4 linked regions of the Drosophila melanogaster genome follow. The protein of the gene in region 1 interacts with the protein of each later gene in a pairwise test. Each region holds a gene or a part of one and is shown on either strand. Other genes may lie near its edges. The genes, in order: Tim17b2, CG42690, Targ and CG14823.

What was found.
Region 2: the proteins of Tim17b2 (region 1) and CG42690 interact in a two-hybrid assay, tested with the Drosophila melanogaster proteins (one large-scale study listed by BioGRID).
Region 3: the proteins of Tim17b2 (region 1) and Targ interact in a two-hybrid assay, tested with the Drosophila melanogaster proteins (one large-scale study listed by BioGRID).
Region 4: the proteins of Tim17b2 (region 1) and CG14823 interact in a two-hybrid assay, tested with the Drosophila melanogaster proteins (one large-scale study listed by BioGRID).

Annotation. Positions count from the first base shown.
Region 1 is NT_033779.5:15,483,059-15,486,101, reverse strand, and holds Tim17b2 (translocase inner membrane 17), read right to left. Parts: upstream 1,374-3,043; 5' UTR 1,266-1,373; coding exon 735-1,265; 3' UTR 557-734; downstream 1-556.
Region 2 is NT_033778.4:19,943,760-19,947,541, reverse strand, and holds CG42690 (uncharacterized protein), read left to right. Parts: upstream 1-1,664; 5' UTR 1,665-1,861; coding exon 1,862-1,961; intron 1,962-2,008; coding exon 2,009-2,103; intron 2,104-2,155; coding exon 2,156-2,312; intron 2,313-2,372; coding exon 2,373-2,434; 3' UTR 2,435-2,602; coding exon of another isoform or gene 2,603-2,702; intron 2,703-2,755; coding exon of another isoform or gene 2,756-2,850; intron 2,851-2,910; coding exon of another isoform or gene 2,911-3,061; intron 3,062-3,123; coding exon of another isoform or gene 3,124-3,194; 3' UTR 3,195-3,279; downstream 3,280-3,782. Other genes in the region: CG30447 (uncharacterized protein), read right to left, coding at 1-209; CG42691 (uncharacterized protein), read left to right, coding at 871-970, 1,018-1,112, 1,164-1,320, 1,379-1,449; CG43195 (uncharacterized protein), read left to right, coding at 2,603-2,702, 2,756-2,850, 2,911-3,061, 3,124-3,194.
Region 3 is NT_033778.4:14,666,556-14,672,217, reverse strand, and holds Targ (tarag), read right to left. Parts: upstream 3,828-5,662; 5' UTR 3,803-3,827; coding exon 3,780-3,802; intron 3,771-3,779; exon of another isoform or gene 3,720-3,770; coding exon 3,118-3,719; intron 2,951-3,117; coding exon 2,700-2,950; coding exon of another isoform or gene 2,696-2,699; intron 2,632-2,695; coding exon 2,295-2,631; intron 2,245-2,294; coding exon 1,628-2,244; intron 1,567-1,627; coding exon 1,074-1,566; intron 1,010-1,073; coding exon 753-1,009; 3' UTR 543-752; downstream 1-542. Other genes in the region: CG12860 (uncharacterized protein), read left to right, coding at 5,527-5,662.
Region 4 is NT_037436.4:7,064,438-7,070,001, forward strand, and holds CG14823 (uncharacterized protein), read left to right. Parts: upstream 1-1,876; 5' UTR 1,877-1,946; coding exon 1,947-2,289; coding exon of another isoform or gene 2,290-2,336; exon of another isoform or gene 2,337-2,423; coding exon of another isoform or gene 2,424-2,431; exon of another isoform or gene 2,432-2,530; intron 2,531-3,117; coding exon 3,118-3,342; intron 3,343-3,566; coding exon 3,567-3,790; 3' UTR 3,791-3,804; coding exon of another isoform or gene 3,805-3,969; 3' UTR 3,970-4,033; coding exon of another isoform or gene 4,034-4,183; 3' UTR 4,184-4,236; coding exon of another isoform or gene 4,237-4,362; 3' UTR 4,363-4,416; coding exon of another isoform or gene 4,417-4,561; 3' UTR 4,562-4,613; coding exon of another isoform or gene 4,614-4,762; 3' UTR 4,763-5,026; downstream 5,027-5,564. Other genes in the region: CG32391 (uncharacterized protein), read right to left, coding at 3,805-3,969, 4,034-4,183, 4,237-4,362, 4,417-4,561, 4,614-4,762.

The sequences.
Region 1 (3,043 bases):
AAGGGATTTCCTTGTAGGCGGCGTTTTCCCACGATTTTATAACTGGGCTCGACTTCCCATCTTCCCACCGTCCATGTGTTGCTGGGAAATCGGCGTTGCCTTTGGTTTTTTGCCTTGCGGGGGAAAAGTTCTGATTTGAGTGCGCTCGAGACTTTCCAGCTAGGAGCAGGACATGTGGCCGGTAGCCAGTGCCACTCAGTACCTCACTCAGTCTAATGGCCAGAACACCGCGGTCATCTCGAGTGGACAGGTTGTAAAGTGGCCACACCCGCCGACCGGACACTTGACTCTATGCGCCGGCGCAGCATCGCAGGTAGTCATCTGGAACAGGTAAACATTTGCCAATATCTCACGCTGACCTATGACACGTGTCAGGTGTCTTTGTCGTGGATTCGGGCAAGTGTGAAACAACCTACTACCTGTTGAGGCAATAATGATTATGAATACGAATGAATTAACACGGAGAACGATAAGAGGGCCAATTGCATTTGTTCCTTCTTCCAAAACGAGCTGCAAACGGCAGCTAATTGTATTTTAATAATTATAAATCCGTGTTAAATTGTTTGAAATTTAATAAATTGGTTCCTTTGCAAAAACAGCTTAAATGGAAATACTGCAATTTTGTCCATATTTTATTGTCATCGAATTTTTCAAATGGAATATTGCTAAATCTAGCACTTATGAAAATCAAAAAGGACTACGTATTAATATACCCAGACAAGAAAAATCGGAATTTAGCTAGTTGCAGTGGCCTGCTGAGCACCCGGAAATCCAAATCCGGAAGAGTTGAAGTCACCGTATCCTTCATTGGCATCAGGCATGATATGCGGTTCACGATTTCGGAACTGTTCCGCCGCGAAACGTGTAAAAAATATGCCTAAGCCCTCGATCATTGAGAGCAGTACGCCACCGATAATTGCACTTCCAGCCATGGCCGCCGCTCCATTGCGTGAGGCCAGAATTCCACCAGTAACTGCTCCGCTCACTATCGAGTTCCAGGGATCCTCCTTTTGGCGAAAGTGGACCAGACTGCAGTCCACAATGCTGAACACTGCACCCCAGGCGGCGAAACTTCCACCTATCACCGGAGATTTGGTCTTGATGGCAGCCACACTGCCGGCGACCCTGCGTCCTAGTCCCTGTGGTGCGTTCCGGAATCCCTTGAGTCCCTGGAAGAGCCCGCCTCCAACGCAGCCCATGATAAAGGCTCCTCCGCAGTCGTCGACGATGCGATGGGGACACGGTTCCCGCGAATACTCCTCCATCTTTGCACTTTTCCACTGGCAGGATTTCCTATCACTGGCCGAAATTAAAAACTGAATTTGCTAAATTTCAAGCCTTCTGCTTATTTTCTACAAATGAGTTATATGTGACTTGGCGTCGCTCGATATGTATAAGGAAATTATGAGTTTTGTGTCTGTCAATTCCAGAGTTTGTTGTGAATTGTGCGACTAAGCTTGCTACATACCTAGTAGATTTAAAATCATGGAGAACATGTCCAGGAACTCAAATTTCAAACTACAGGTTGTAAGTAAGAAGTACTTGGTTTTGTTTGTGCCCCCACCAGACACCCATTAGCATATGAACCAGAGTCAGAGCAAACAGAGTCGCACGTGGATCGGGGATCTTTTGCCCCGAAGCTCAATGGCACAAAAAGGTTAAATAGCACAAATGTCGGACCGTAGTTAACCATAAAATTTACTGCCGCAGCTGGACAACTTCGGCTCGAGAATGGGGAGGGGACGGGGGATTGGGATTCGGATTGGGATGGGGATGGGGCCATTCGAAAGACGCAATTCGTACAAAGGCAAAGCCAGACGGTGGGAAACGGAAACAATGAGACCGATTGTCGTCGACCGATAAAGCCAAGCCGAACCAAACCAGAACTCCAGACCCAATACTATTTTATACTGCGTATGTCAAACTACTTCAGGAGGGAAGCTTACGATTGCATGCATAATTATCACGCGAGCATAATCGAAATTTTGAAACTGCCGCAACTGTGTTTGCTTAGCTCGAAAAAGGGGGAAGTCTTCGCATTCGGGCCCTCGATGGATATCTCCGCATAACAAGGTGTCAGACAGCAGTGACAAATGAAAGCGAAACCCCGATCGAAACCGAAATCGATGGGCAGGCATTTAAGTATGAGGGGACACCTGGACACACACGAAGCGCCAGTCCATTGTTCAACAGGACAAATCTCGTCAACTTGACATGTAAATCGTTAGAACGTGTTGCACTCGATTGATTGCTCTCACTCCCGAGAAGGTTATCGGGGATCATTTGACGGGAAATGGCTGCAGGATAAGACATTATATATAATTTGTAAATGTAAATACTGGGCATATTGTTTGCCACTGCTGCGGGATTTCCAATGAAATCTTCATTTCCACGGTAATTGTTGTCGCTTATAAATGATTTAGATGGGATTAGATCGATGTGGTGTTAATGTGGGCACATTATGCGAAAGGATTGGCCATTCCGTTCTAGGACGCGATCCGACCATGGGTTTCCCACGAATTCCGGAGATTCGAGCCTTACAGTTTTCTGGGAAGTCACAGGCCAAATGGAATTGGCCTACTAGCCCATTTAGTAATTTTATTAACATTATTTGTTGTTAAAATACCAACGTATTATGTGAAATTAAAAAAACTGCAGTTGTCTTTGGATACAGAACAATTTAAAACCATATTCAAAATTTTAAGAACAGCATTCTACAACTGTAAATCGAGCTCCACAATGTACGCTACAGAAATGCAGGTTTGGTAATCTATTGTGGCAATGTTTTTTAAAACAATAATGATTATGTAAACAGTAAAAACTCAAAAATTATAATATCGAACAGATATGATCTCTAAAACGGTTCCGTTTTCCATCTTCCGATCTCCGAATGCTCCGTTAGAGGCCAGTGTTTGGGCAGCTGTGATGCAACATTTTGTTATATCTTAAGGAATATGCATCTGCATAACCCACTACAAAGGGAATCCAGAACGGAACTCATTTGCCCGCTCGAAGAGAATCCCTGCACATGCCAAAACGCCAG
Region 2 (3,782 bases), on another chromosome or scaffold:
GCAAGTATTCTGCTGCACTTAAAATTGTTCCAAACGCGAGTAATAGCCGCACTACCGCCAAAGGACGTGGGTCCCTGGTAAAACGGCGAGCTTAACGTGAAAAGTTGCTTAGTCCCAGAGAATGTTGGATGTGCTGACTCGTTACGTAAGTCGCTACTAGTGGCGTCGCTCATACCCTTCTGAGAAAAATCAAAATCTTTCGACATCATGCCTGCTTACTTTCAGAAGGAAAATAATACGAAAATGATTAGTCTATATGAAAAAGATTCAAAGTTTTCCAAAAAAATATACCTTCCGGAGTTTGATATGTTTCAGCTTGCAATAATACAATCACTAAGACTTGTCTTAGATTTCGAAGCCTACTATGGAAATCACCACAAAACAAGAGAGAATGCTATAGAAGATTTTTTTTGGCAAATGGATAGAAATTTACAACACTAATACAATTTTTAAAAAATATGCAACAATTTTTAAAAATGTGGTCGCGGCACATTTAGGCGGTTTAGGGCGTTAGAGTGTGTGTGGCAAAAATTTTTTTCTGCAAATCGATAAAAATTTACAAGACAAATAAAAACGTAAAAAAATACCAAAACATTTTTCAAAAGTGTGGGCGTGGCTTACTCTACGAGTAACGGGTATAAAAGTCAGTATGGCAACCACCTGCAGTGTTACCCATATTTATCGTGTAAAATTATTCATAGAAACAAAGCGTCTTGGCATTAAATGTCACTTCAAATAATAAAGAAACGGAAAATCATGAATATTTTGATTATGTACTATTTATATTTCGGTAAAAGACGTAAATTGCATAATGAAACATTATCATTGTGATTAAAATCCTCTTATCTTATCACTCATTCAAAAATTGAGATGTGCTGCAATGTGAGTCGCCAATACAGTTGCGTCGTTATAGGAGTGCTGGCCCTTATTGTAGCGTCCTTAGATCTAGGATACCGAACTCATCTGCTAGGTAAAATAGTGCCATATTATGCATTTATATATTAGTTAATTTCGTAGCCACATATGGTTTGAATCGTTGGATACTGGCATCTGTGATTGCCTGGTTGCTCATAATCATGGCCGCAGTTGTTCTGATTGTAGGCGCAATAAAGGCAAGTAATTATTAAAGAAACGAAAAGAAATGTAAATTTTTCTAATTGTAGAAAATAACTACTCTTCTGCTGATTTGGATAATAATCGTACTGATTGTCGGAATTGCTCAAATTTTTATAAAAATTGTGTTATTCACTCCAGCCAAAAACATTCATCCAAGTGACGCATACTATATTCTTGCAGGCGGCTTTATAATACTTCTAATACGTAATTTAACAATTCAAATTTTCTTTTTAGCAATATTTTTACGACAATTTTTTTCCAGTGTTGGTATTTTGTTCCGCATACTACCCTTATGCATACAAACGTGAACTTGAAGAAGAGGAATACGAATAAATTAAATTTTCAATATCAACGTGTCTTTTATGAAACCACATTTGAAATCTACGATTTTCATTTTAGCAAAACTCTTGAGCCACTTTTAATTACTACCATTTTCATTTTTGTAAAATTCTTAGTAACAAATGACATAAGTTTCTGAATATTTCATAACTCTATTTTTGGGTTAACTAACATGTTAGTTGACTTGTATATCAAAACCTGTGTTAAATATCAATGAAAACCAAAGTAATTTGGACTTAAATGTCAAATAATTCTGTAGATATTCTGTATAAATGCTTTTTACATAAAATTTATATTTCTCTTTCCCTTGCAAAATTCATAATGGTGAAAAATAATAACATTCCATCGCATCCTGTAATTTTCGGATTTATAAATTTTGGAATTATTATCTACAGAACCGATTGAGATGTGCTGCAATGCCAACCGCCAGCTATTATGTATCTTTACCGGAGCATTGGCGATACTGATATCAACTTTATGTTTAGGATTCATGCTTTACCGGCTAGGTAAAGTAAGGTTTATAAAAAATATACTATTATAACAATGTTTTTAGGCACGACTGGTATAAACCATTGGGAGGAGGCGTACCTGGTAGCCTGGGCTGTCATTATTTTAGCAGCGGTACCTCTAATTGTAGGAGCAATAAAAGCAAGTAAGCGCGAAGTAATAAATATCCAATATTACCCATGTCCTGTTTTAGGAAATTCGCTATCTTTTGGTGATTTGGATAGTAGTCGCTTTAATAAGCGGCATTTCTCTGATAGTTATTCAAATAGAAATGTTTCATAGCTTTTTTCATAAGGATCCTGATACAGCCTTTCATATTCTCGGTGGTATAGTCATTATAGTTTTCGTATGTATGTTAACGTAGTTGTATTATAATTTTCATTTTAATAATAAAAAATTTAATTTTTCAGTATTGCTCTGCTGTTTTCTATACTTCCCATATACGTATGCGCGTGAGCTGGAAGGAGATTAATACGGATAAAACGGATAAAAAATATCCAGTGTCTTGGACTTAAATTTCAAACAAAATTATCAGTTTGAAACCATTTTTTTTTTTTTGTATATTTTTAGTTGCTTAAATCAAATGTTGTTTCCTGTGGATATATGGGAAATACTTTAAAATTGGAAAAATAAAACTACAATGTGCTTGAATGCGAACCAAAAGCCTTGTTGCGTGATAATTGCCTTGGTTGCGATTTTTGTCGGAACTATAGAGACATCTTACGAGTGCTTTCATTTAGGTAAGAATTATTCTACTATAAAGCTACCAAAATAATATCTGCATTATATTTAGCCTTGCATGGTATGAACAATTGGTTAGTGGCAGCATTGATCGCATGGATTCCCATTTTTATTGCTGCAATTTTTCTGATTATTGGTGCACTTAGGGTAAGTATTCGCTAGTAAAGACAATCTATGTTTAATTTAAGATACAAATGTTTTCTCAAGGAAATACCTATTCTTCTGCTTATCTGGGTAATAGTGTCACTGATTTGCGGAGGTGCTTTGATAATTATAAAGATCGGATTGATGATATACCTGAATAGGCTTCGTATATATCTAGATATTGTGGTCGCCATTTTGAATGTAATATTTTTAAGTTAGTCAATTGGAACTAAAATTTTCGCTAGTATATGAATAATACGACCAATTTTTTTTCAGTGCTGGTCTTCGTTTGGGCGGCCTATCCTTATGCATACATGCGTGAACTGAAGGAGCAGCAAATGATTTGAAATTATCACTTGGGCGTAGATGATGGAAATATCATAAATAATGGCAGTGCTGAAATTATTAAGAAATATTACTGAGCCCATTTATAAAAACTTCTTTATATTATGTAATTTCCAAAAAGGGGGAATTTTGGTTATATATTTTTAACAATGATCAATAAACGTTAAGCCACGTTTGTCTGTCCGCTTTTACTAAAAATCAACATACAGACTGTGCGATATTCCGACTCTGTTGCATGACTTCAGTTTTTTTTATTAAACAAATAGCAGCCAGTGACCAGGGGATGCGAATTTGCATAAAATAACAGAGGCAATAACAATGGGTGACAACAAATCAAATGCAAATGGTAAACCGACCGCAAATAGAAAGTGAAAATCAAATACAAAACGCTACCGTTTATTTCTGTGCTTTCGTATCTCGGCACTTTCTGGCCGATTTTTGGGTCTTTTGTGTTTATTTGTCGGGCGACTAATTTAAATAAACATTTGTTTGCACAAAGGCTTTAATACGTTTGGCAAATGACTTCCTGAATTGTGTGCTGCATATACCAGGGTACCAGCCCAACTGTTGGCTACTCGGATTGCATAATC
Region 3 (5,662 bases), on another chromosome or scaffold:
TCAAATGACATTGTTTTTAACGCAGACGGCAGAGACTTCAATTAAAAATGGATTAAATTAGAGGCGACGATGGGGAAGACTACTGACAATATTAAAAAACACAAGAAAGATTTAGACACAGGACACAGAGGATTGGAGTCATTCGTCCTGCGGATGTCGATTCAAACATTCTTATGTTTATGTGTTCACATTGATTTATATTTTTTTTTTCGTTGCTTTAGCTCTAAATAATATGTAAAAAAATCATCATAAAATATAAAAAATGAAGAAAAAAAAAACAAAACATTGAACAGTAGACGTACAAAGTTTAGAAAGCAAATCAAAGTAAACAAGAAGCGTGAAAATTTGCATACCCAAACAAGGAAAAATGGAAACAAAACCAAATGAAAAACCAAACACAGCACACTTGAACCTATAAGCGTGGAGCCAAAGTGTGTTGTTCAGCAACTAAGCTAATATTAGATGTAAACTAAGCTAACTAATAACTTAAAATGGATTGCAATAAAAGTCAACCCCAAAAAGAACTCACTTGAATTGAAATTATATTGAAAATAAATCTGTAATAAGGAGGAAGTAATAGTTAATGACATCGGTCAATTAACAATTACATGGATATACAAACATTTACTCAGAATTTGGAACGAGGACCAGTAAAAAAAAGTCATAAAAATGCCTAAGCTATTAGTTGTAAGACAATCCCAAGTTCCAAGCAGGAGAACCAATAAATATTGCAATTCCAATAGTCCAATTCCTCATTGGGCCATCCTGTTGCGACATTTAATAAGCAAGGGCAGCAGAAGCTTCAGAAATCCGGACACTATGAGACATAATCCCGCAAAGCAAAAGGCAGCAGAATAGTTTCCCGTGATGCCTATCAATTTACCAGCAATTGTAGTCCCAATAAAGGCGCCCATTCCCATGGCCAATGAGGTAATCCCAAAAGCGTTGGTCAGTTTTGAAAGTCCCAGGTATTTCACGTATATCAAACCTCTCAGTGTGGAATAAACAGCTATTCCATGGAAATGAGAGAGGGTAATATTGTAAACTTAAGTAAGGTAAGTAAATGTACGCACCAGGCGCTACAGCATAGGAGAAGCCATACAGAAACTGGAACCAAATCAAGTTCTCTCCATAGAAGGCGCTAATCAAAACGGAAACACCACCGAAAATTAGACCACAACCACAAAGTCCGAGGGTCCAACTACGCCTTTTGTAAGCGAGGATGCCAAGGATGTTTCTCATCACAAGATTACTAATTCCGATAATGGGGCCGATCATACGGGCATATTCGACGGGGATCGTGGTTCGTGCAGACGAGTAAACAAAGGGTATATTAAAGCCCATCGGGAACAGAAAGGCGGACGCCACCAGAATCTTGAACTCAAACTGTTTCAGCAGGCGGTAGTCGAATAGTTTGAGCACAGTGAGCATAAACCGGCTATTCCTACAGGAATTTTGCTTTTTCTGATTCTCGTTTGACCATCTTCGTTCCCTATGAACTCTAGAAATCCTATCGGGTTCATCATCCACACGAATGTTCTTGATGCCATAGTTCACTTGCTGGGTCTAAGTGAAAGTTGGTGGTGTTCTTAAGTTGAAGCGAATTTATTCTTAATACAACACTTACGTTCTTATCCGATCCCATTAGTAGGAACTCCTTGCCGTCGACGTTCTCCTTGCTGTGCGGCTTTTCGTATTCGGCAGGACCCGTATAGAAGAGATCCTCCCGCTCCAGGGGCGCCGGGCGGATGAGCAGATTCTGCTCATCAGCATTTTGCGACTTCTTCCGCCGCCTCCAACAACAGTTCGAACAGGAGGGGCAGAACTTGGCGCATCCTTTCTTTTTTGGGCGTGGCTCATATGTACTTAGGATACTCCGGCTTTTAGCAGTCATCGCGGATTGACGTAAATAGTCATGCACGTAGAAGTTGCCGTAATACTCATCCGAACTGGTATCCGAAGAACCGGGTAAATGGTACATGCCCACCTGGGTGGGAGCCACCTCCACATAGGCGACCACCATCAACAGGATCAACATTATCAGCCCCGCCTGCGTCCGCAGCATGTTCCTCCATCCGATGATTGGCACCAGCCAGCTGTTGAGGAACGTGAAGAGTACTATGCCCGCACCGCCACCGCTGCAGGAAAATCCATTGGCCATCGGACGGTACCGCTCAAAGTAGTAGCCAACAATCAGCTGCGAACTTGCCCAGATCATGCTCAACGTAATACCACCTGCGCAGGCTAGTACTATTATTCATCGAATATCGTACAGCAATCTAGAATCAACCTACCAAGGACGCTGTAAAAGAAGATCAGCATGGTCAAGCTGACGCTCCAACTGGACGCCAGTATTGAAACTGCGGAACACAGGACCCCAGCGATGGCTACCTTTCGGAAACCAAAACGATTTATCAGGACAGCAGAAAACGCTCCGCTAGTGAAGTAGCAACCAATCTGGACACTGGCCACAAACGATACCGACGATATGGAGACATCCAGATCCTGGGCAATGGATGGCAATAAGACCCCAATGGTAAAAATTAAACCATCGATTATCAGCTGGGCGAGGAAGGACAGCACCATGATTACCCAACCGAATCCGCCGTCCGGTGGTATCACCATATAGATCTGTGGATGACAAGAGTCGTCATTCGTTTCTCAATTCACCACCACAAGAATGCTATTCACTCACTTACAAAAACCATACCGGAGCCAAGTCGTCTTCCACCACGGCTAAAGTCAAAGGACTCCTTCGAATTTTTACTTTCCATGTCGAACGATTGCTTGCGCGTTCGATTTCCGTCGTATTCGCTGAAAGATTCCGGCGATGCGGTATCGGCCAACTGTACTGTAGTTACATTGAACGAGAGACCCGATTCCTGTTGATCGGTTTCCTTAGGGACCACATATGAATCCTCGGAATCGTATTTGGGAATCAAGGGGGATCCTGTAAGAAGGCTACAGTTTTAGCTACAAGAAATGCATTTGGTAGGTTCCTCAATTTCAAGCAAATGGCCAAAAATAGCTTAGACAAAATTCAATTGCATGACAATAAAATAAAAATAAAAAAAAAAACATTTTTGTAAAAAGGAAGGCAGCGCTATGATAACTTACTCTTTTTATAAAACTTTTGCGTTTTGGTAATGAGTGGTTCTGCCCTATCATATTCATCCGTATAGCTAGTAAAGCTCAACATCTGAGACACCTCATCTGTGCTCTCGATATATTCATTCTCATTATCCCTGTGTGTGGACAATTCCTTGCTAAATCCACGGGTCCTAGAGTATTTTTTCTCAAAGGCCGGTTCCACAAACGGCACCTCAGATATTGGCTCAATTGGCCTAGATGGTGGAATTGCTGGCTGGTTTTTCGAAATCTCAGGCTCATTTGATGCCCCCACAAGCATATGGGGAAATCTTCTGATAGGCAGCTTGGGAAGAAAAGTTGGATTAAAGCTTTCGTAGAACGAAGGCAAATCCACTTCACTCCCGTGAGACTGACTAAGGGACAAGAATGATGTGCGCCCATTCAGGATATCCGTTGAAACTGTGCCGACGGCCACACTGACCATTTGTGGTCGCGTGTTTCGCGTATCATTGTAATAGATGGATGAGTTTTGAACCGAGATGTCCAGCCTGGACAGAGATTGGGATCTCAAGCTACTTCCACTTGGCTGTGCAGCGGCGGTCTTATCTTCATATTGGCTGCTGGGGAAGCTGAAAAACAGAGGGATTTGGTCGAGTTGAGTGCTTTGCTGGGCGAACAGACTCAGTCACCTTCGCCTACGATTCCTGCTCATTTTTCGACTCTGTCGCAGAGTGTTCCTGACATCTTTCACAAATCTCTCTGCGTCTCGACCCGAACCCAATGCACAGTGGCTGGCTACGTGTCTGGCTGCAAGATGAGAAGCCCCAGCAACAGGAACGGGAATTCATGGGGATTCGTGGGATTCGGGAACTGTCGCCAGACATTAGCTGCTCCTGGCTACCAAATGCTGTCATGGCTGCCAGGCGAGCGTGACAAACGGAGTTGGTTGGTAGTTGCTTGTTGGTGACCCCCAGTTGCTCCTCCTCCGCAATTGCCCCACTGCAACTGTTACTTTTTAGCCATCGCCTCGCCATCGCCATCTTCTTTTGCCTGGCGAATCCCTATTGCCACAACCCGATCCCAGCTCCGTTCCACCCGCTTGCCTGTTTATTTTGGGGCCGAAACAAAATTGCATCAGTGCAATTTCATTGATTGTAAGTAAATGAAATCATTCCTTAGTCGTCTGAGTTTTGCACGGAGAGCGGAGCGATTGGAGTGGAGCGGCTAAAGTGCATCTCAGCTTTAGGGGCAGTAACTTCATTGGCAGTCACTCAAAGGCAACAAGAGCTGAAGTATTGGGGTCGACTGTTTCCCCAGTTGATTAAATGGAAAGTGATGCCCGGGCTCTTGAATTGGAGGCAGTCGGTCCATGCTTTATGAAACAAACCTCGCCCCTGGAAACTTTAACTAAGCCAGCCCTGCTTTTGCAAAATGAATTACAAACAAAGTGCACTAATTAATTAGCGTAAAGGCCAGCAAACTTTTCGACCAGCCACTTCAGCTTCATCTACACCTTCCCCCCCCCCTGGATTTTTCCTGTTCTCCCGCGGGGGAGCACCGATTGCAGCGGCTATTTTTCCTGGCCAACAACTCTATGCGGAAATTGTTTTTTTCCAAAAGGTTCGCTCGTACGTGCTCGTTTTTTATGGCCCACGTTGTGTTTTCCTATTTTTCGATTTTTTTTCCCCTGAGCGCCTTGAAATCGAAACGGCCAAAAGATTGCGCTGCCAAATTGTTAACAGCAATTGACCCAATTTTATGGGAGCCCTCATGCATGGCCACTCTCGGACGGCAGTGACTCCAATGAAAATAGCGGCGTAAAAGCGAAAACTGCCCCGAGAACAGCAAGCAGCGAGCGGCGACCAACGCGGCGTATACTTATTCTAGTGGACTTCTGTTGTTTTTTTTTTCGCAGGGGGTCAGCTTTGTATGTATATTTTTCGTTCTGTTTTATTTTTTTTTTTTTTTGTTGGGCTTTGTCGTTTGGCTGGCTGCACTCTGTTTGCATTTAACTTGCAAACAAGCTGGGGCAAAAATTCGTAAAGTGAAGGTTGCGTTGCCTATTTTTTCTTTATTGTTATTTGCCTGCAAATCAAGGCAGCTGGACATTGCAAATTCGCTGGCATCGAATCCATTCGCAATTAACTGCAGAACAAACAAGGAAAACCCATTTGGTCCGTGGCCCGGAAAAGGCTCAATTCGCGACAGTATTCGAGGAATTACACACTTAAATCTGGAATCCATAGAGAAGTAGCTGTTGAAATGTAAATAAAATAGATCCCATCATGGCGGCCTTGGACTAGATTTCTTGCCAACTATTGGTTCAGCACCTTGGTGTTAGCCAGATCAAAGCAGAGCGTTCGCCTGTACAGACCAAAATTTCGTGTCTCTCAACCTGCCACAGCACCGGTTCCAATCCAAAACCTCCGTTTAGTTATGTTTCTGGCCAAAAGTTCATCAATACTTCGCCCGCAGCTTCTTAATGAGGTGAAGGGACTAGTGAAGTCACAATTTCTGGCTCTGTCACAGGTCGACCGACGCTTTGCCCACTCGGACGATAGGTGCGCCAATA
Region 4 (5,564 bases), on another chromosome or scaffold:
TTCGTATCCCAAAAGCAATCCCAATCCAAACGGTATAAAGGCCATTTAGCCCAACCACTGGTAATTTTTCCATAATTGATTTTGGCTTGCGGTCTGGCTCGTCCTTTCATCTGGCCATGTGTTAGTCAGGGGCAGGAAACCCTCACGCACCCCCACACATACAAATGAGTTTTTGCCTTGGCCGTATGTGAAGAAAAACATACCGAAATGGGAAACGGAAACGCCTTGAGACAATGGCGACATTGGCGAGGCAATGTGGAAATGGCTGCTGTACAGAAAAACTGAAAGAATAATCAACTAAGTGACGGAGCATTTCTTTTATTTGCCGAGCACCTGTGCAGGATGTGTTCAGAGGCGTCCCCAAAAAAAAGGGACGATAGTTTTGGAAAAATTCTTAACGAATATTTGAGCATGCTCTGGCAAAAGAAGGAAATTATTTGCTTGTATATTTCTTTAAATAGGAAATGAACAACTTAAATAAATTCAAAGTCTTCTTTCCCATTTTAAAATCTTAAAATCTTTAATTTGTTTGATATTTTCGCAAAACATGGAATTCTTTTGTATTTACACTTTTGGAAGCAGTTTGTAAAAATTGTTTGAGTGCCAAAAGTCCAAGAATGCAAGGCGTGATTGGAAGGTGTCAACAACTTTGTTCTCATCTCAATGAAAAGTTTTCGAAAAATCTTTGCTGTCCCACTTGATAGCAAACAAACTTGATCGAAGATATTCTAGAAAAATAATATAAATAAATGGGAAGTAAACAGAGATTTGCAGCATTTTAGGATGCATTGCACGGGTACACCCACACTTTGCTGTTGACAGATTTCGATGGTCGTGAAGTAAGTTTGCGTATGAAGAAGTGGCACTTCAGGAGGCTTCGAGGACGTCCTGGTCACACCCCTTCTCGAAGGATGACGCTCCTTCCACTGGATACTGGTGCCACAAACGGCTGCTGTTGTTTGCTGCCCCAACTTTCGTTCCAATTTCGCCGCAAGAGTCTCAACAATTTCTCATATTTGTTTACAATTCGCGCATACAAATGCGCAAGGTTATCAGCAAAACCAGCCACCCAACCACCACCCATTTGGCAAATATCGCCACCCATTTCCCCCCTTTCAATGGACGGCTGCCATAAGTTGTCATGTCGCAAATGGAAGCGGAGTGTCACCGACACCCAATCTAAAGATACACGTGAAAAAATCAAATGAATATGTAATAAAATCAATAAAAACTACATACTGCTGAAATTTAAAAAAAAAATTATGTTCCATGTCACGAAAACATATGTATTAAATATATTAAACTATGCTTCCATGAAAAATTGTGCATACATTCAGTTCTTTATTAGAGCTGTTATAATTAATCAAATGCCAAAGAAATATAAGAGAATGAAATTAAAAATATACAAAGCTTAAAATTAAATGCAGATACCACATTTTTGATAATATTTTTATTCACTTTCTGAAATAATTTCAATCATATTAGTTTGAGTATTATGTGCAAAATAAGCACGGCTTGGTCGCCAATGCTGCCGAATATAGTACTTTTAAAATAAACTCACTACTTGTTTAAATTCGTGCCACTTTTAGGAATGAAACCACATGCAATTTAAACTTGTTGAGGTGTACAACTACTGATGTTCGGGAATTGGAGAAAAATCACCATGTTGAGCGCCACTTGAATGCGAGAGAAAAATCACCGAAATGCTGGAGGAATGGAGAACAAACGCTGGAACAGATTAGCTGGTCGGGGGAAAAAAAAACGCTGGGAATGTAGAAACCGCAATCGCCGGGCATCAATTACGCCGACAACATTGAGCGATAATCGAGGGGAGGTTATCTCGAGCAGCACCTGTAACTTGGTACCATGTACAAATGCCACAGAGTGTTCCAGCTATTCGCTTGGGTTAGTCGGTTTGCGATAGCAAAGGGAGAAGCCAGCTCGCCATGGAGCCCACATGCAGCAGCAGTGTGGCGGAATTGGCCAAATACAGTGAGGATGATGTGGAAACGGATGAGTCCAAGGTGGTGGAGCATCAGGAATATGCCGAAGCGCTGTCAATGTCCGGGGAAAGTCGTAAGCGGAAACGATGGACTCGAAGGTCCTGCTGCACTCGCCAAGTCCTGAGTACGGGCGCCATTTTCATCGCCCTTCTGCTCATCATCGGCGCCATTTACATGCACTTAAGACAGAAGCATCATCTGGGCCGACTGCACATCAATCTCAAGGATCGGGGGCAAGTGGAGGTCCTGGAGGAGGACTTTCCCATGGTCACCGCTGCGGGAGTGGGTGAGTGTGCCACAAGGACTCTTGTTCAATCGCTAAGAAGCTCTTAGACTTCGGTTAATTTTATAAGCGGTTTATATTGTTGGGATAGTGGTATTTTCTCTCTTTTTCTTTGTTTTGTTTTTTTTCTTTCCCAGCTGACTGATTAGAATTGCCATTAGATGAACCAGCAGATTTCAACGTTTCGAAATTATAGCGATAATAAATAAAAGCTTGTATTTATTACACAACAACTATGCAACGCGTGAGTTGTTTTTATTGTATATAAAAAATTTTAATCGATCATTTCAATAAGTGACAGTCATCGACAGTATGTCAAGCACGTAAAAGTTTGAGATTAAACTGTAAATAATAAATACACATCTGCTAAAGTTTGCCAGCATTCAATATAGATTTATAGTTTCTACATTCGCCTTAAGTTCGACTTGAAAACTTTAGTCTCAAACAATTATTTTTCCGACGGAAGACTTATATTTATTAAGTAACAGGAAGTTTGTAAACACCAAATGTGAACTCAATTTAAGTTTCGTTTAGCAACGTCCTCTGCACTTATAAGGCCAAAATATAGTCGGAACTATGTTTTACATCAATTTAAAGTTCATAAAAGTGCAGTTTAAAGTTGCTTCAGTAAATCTGCTAATAAAACATACTCAAAAAACTTTGCAACTAACGAGGAGAGTGCGGTTTAAACGTGAGGTCTAGGAGCTATTTACGTCCACGGGAACTATGGATAACTCACTGCCAACTATGCTGCATGCTGTTAGCCATATTGTGTGGTAAATAGTTTCGATTAAACGGCTAATTGGACCCTCTTTGGAATGCATTTTGCAGATGCCCAGACCTCGACGATAACAACATTCCAGCCGCCTCCGACATCCTCCCCAGAGCCCAGTGCCAAGTGCCTGGACTGCATGGCCACCACTGCCACGGATAATATTCCGGCAATCTGCAGGCACCGAGGACGACCAGAGGAGCCGTGCGGCATTTATCGCATCTCCCACGTCTACTGGCAGGACGCACTCCGGATAATTGACCCGGACGACTCACTCGCCCGGGGTAATGAATACACTGAGCAAAAATGTTTGGCAACAAAATTACAACAAGTCGAAAGCATAAGCCATTTCTCCATTTCTCTATTAATTTTAAATTTGCTTTTCATCTTCAGTTTCAAGATTTTGTTGTAAATTTCTTCATGTGTATCCTGTTGTTGCCAGGCTGCCACAAGCGTGTAATGTCCACCGACTAACCCTTTTTCCTACATCTCACCCTTCAACCCACAGACTACGGAAGATGCGTGGTGGATGTCCAGTGCGCCGAGCGTATTGTGCGTAGCTATGTGCAGCGATATGGTGGCGAGGATTGCAATGGAGACGGACGGATCGAGTGTCGGGATCATGTGAGGCTGCACATGAGAGGACCCGGCGGCTGCCGCAGGCAGGAGCCACTGGGGAGCCTGTCTGAGAGGAGATTGGAAAACTGCTTGAAATACAGGGGGATTACTTAAAACCGATTGTTCGTTTATTGTTTCAACTGCAGGCGATGCATTATGGGCCGCCAGTAGAGGGTTAGCACAAAGAGGCCTATGAACTCGTGGAACAGCAGCAGGGCGGCGAACTTGTCATCGAACAACTTGGTCGAGGCCCTTCTTCCGCCCATGATGCACTGCACATGATACATCAGGAACTGCAAGTGATTTGTGGTTATGCGGCAGACAGTTGCAGGCTGGTAAAATGCGAAAAATGCTTACCATCATCACCACACAGCCGATACAGAATGCGAAGAGATAAAATCCCCAGATCACGTCGAGAACCACATACAATACCAGGGAGTATATGCTCAGTGAGTAAGTGCCAGTTGCAAGGGCATATAGGTAGAGTCCGGTGCCTGTGAGGTCATACTTAGGCAAGATTTTGGTTGATTATTTAACATCCTTTATCTGTACTAGCTTACCGCCATTAAAGCAGCTATAAGTGTACATAACACAAATGCAAGGCTGACAATCAGAAATCCGGCAAGCATATAAAGTACTCCCGATGATATGATCAGCACACTGAGAGAAACTACCACACATTCCACCTTAATATGCTATGGGGTTACATTGTTAGGTAATTTAATTGTTAGAATACCCACGATAATAAACGTAATCAGCCAGTTGACACAGGACATTTTCCTTAGCGGCATACTTAGGGCAAACAGGAAAAGTAGGAAAATGCCAAATACAAAGGCTAGGAGCAATGCAGATGAGTGCTCGTTTACCAAGACCAGAAACCATTCGCTAGTAGTAATTACATAAATCATAAGTAAAAAAGTTATTATCCAAATCTTACTGCAGCAAGGTTAGCACCAGGATCCAGTGAACAAATCCTATCACAATGAAGACGCATAACTCCAGAATAACCTTTATGATATATCTTCGCCTATCATCCACAGATTCCGAGTGGAAAAACGGCCAGATGGTTATATCTGCCTCGAACATGGCAAAAGAAAAAATAGTTTGATTTTGGGCACCAGGCCGTCTGAGGCAAAGTAACTCTGAGATTCGTATAAAAAATTTACGCTATTCCCGGCATGGACACACTAATTGCACATCGAAATGGGCCGTCCAGAGCACAAAGTTAATGGGAGCGAATTAGAACAAACAATGACGACGATTCGGCGTACATAATTGAACTCGACAAAACTTTATAATCTGGCAGCATCGCGAACAAATTGAACAACAACTCGCAAGTGTGTAATAATTAAAAGTTTGCGCAAAATGTAGCGGACAAACAAGCGGAGGGGAGACAAAAGTTTTGGCGCAAGTTTTAAATCATTTAGCAGGGCCGGACTAATTGCTGCCATGTCGCATTAATTTGTTGCGACTGATAGCGGGCAAACAGTGCGTATGCGCAATGCATAAATTTATGATTTCCATCATGGCCTACCTAGGATTTGTCGGACTCTTAATCGCAGGATAAAGAGACTTATGGCATAGGTTTGCATATACTTATAATACAAATCTAAGAACTTTTTGTTAATTCATGATTCAACTTCAATGTTTATAAAGTTGGCAGAGTTTTAATACCGAGATATTTTTCTCTGTATTTTATATTTCACATTTAATTATTTTAGCCTTACCGACATCAATGCCCAAGTAAGTCGGCATTGTTTATCCCTAGGACGATGACGTTGATTTCTGCCTCGCCTGAGTCCTAATCTCTCGATTGCATGACAAGTGTACATAACTTTATTCAATCAAATGTGCAAATAGCGCATGTTGCAAACAGAAATAGTCCAAA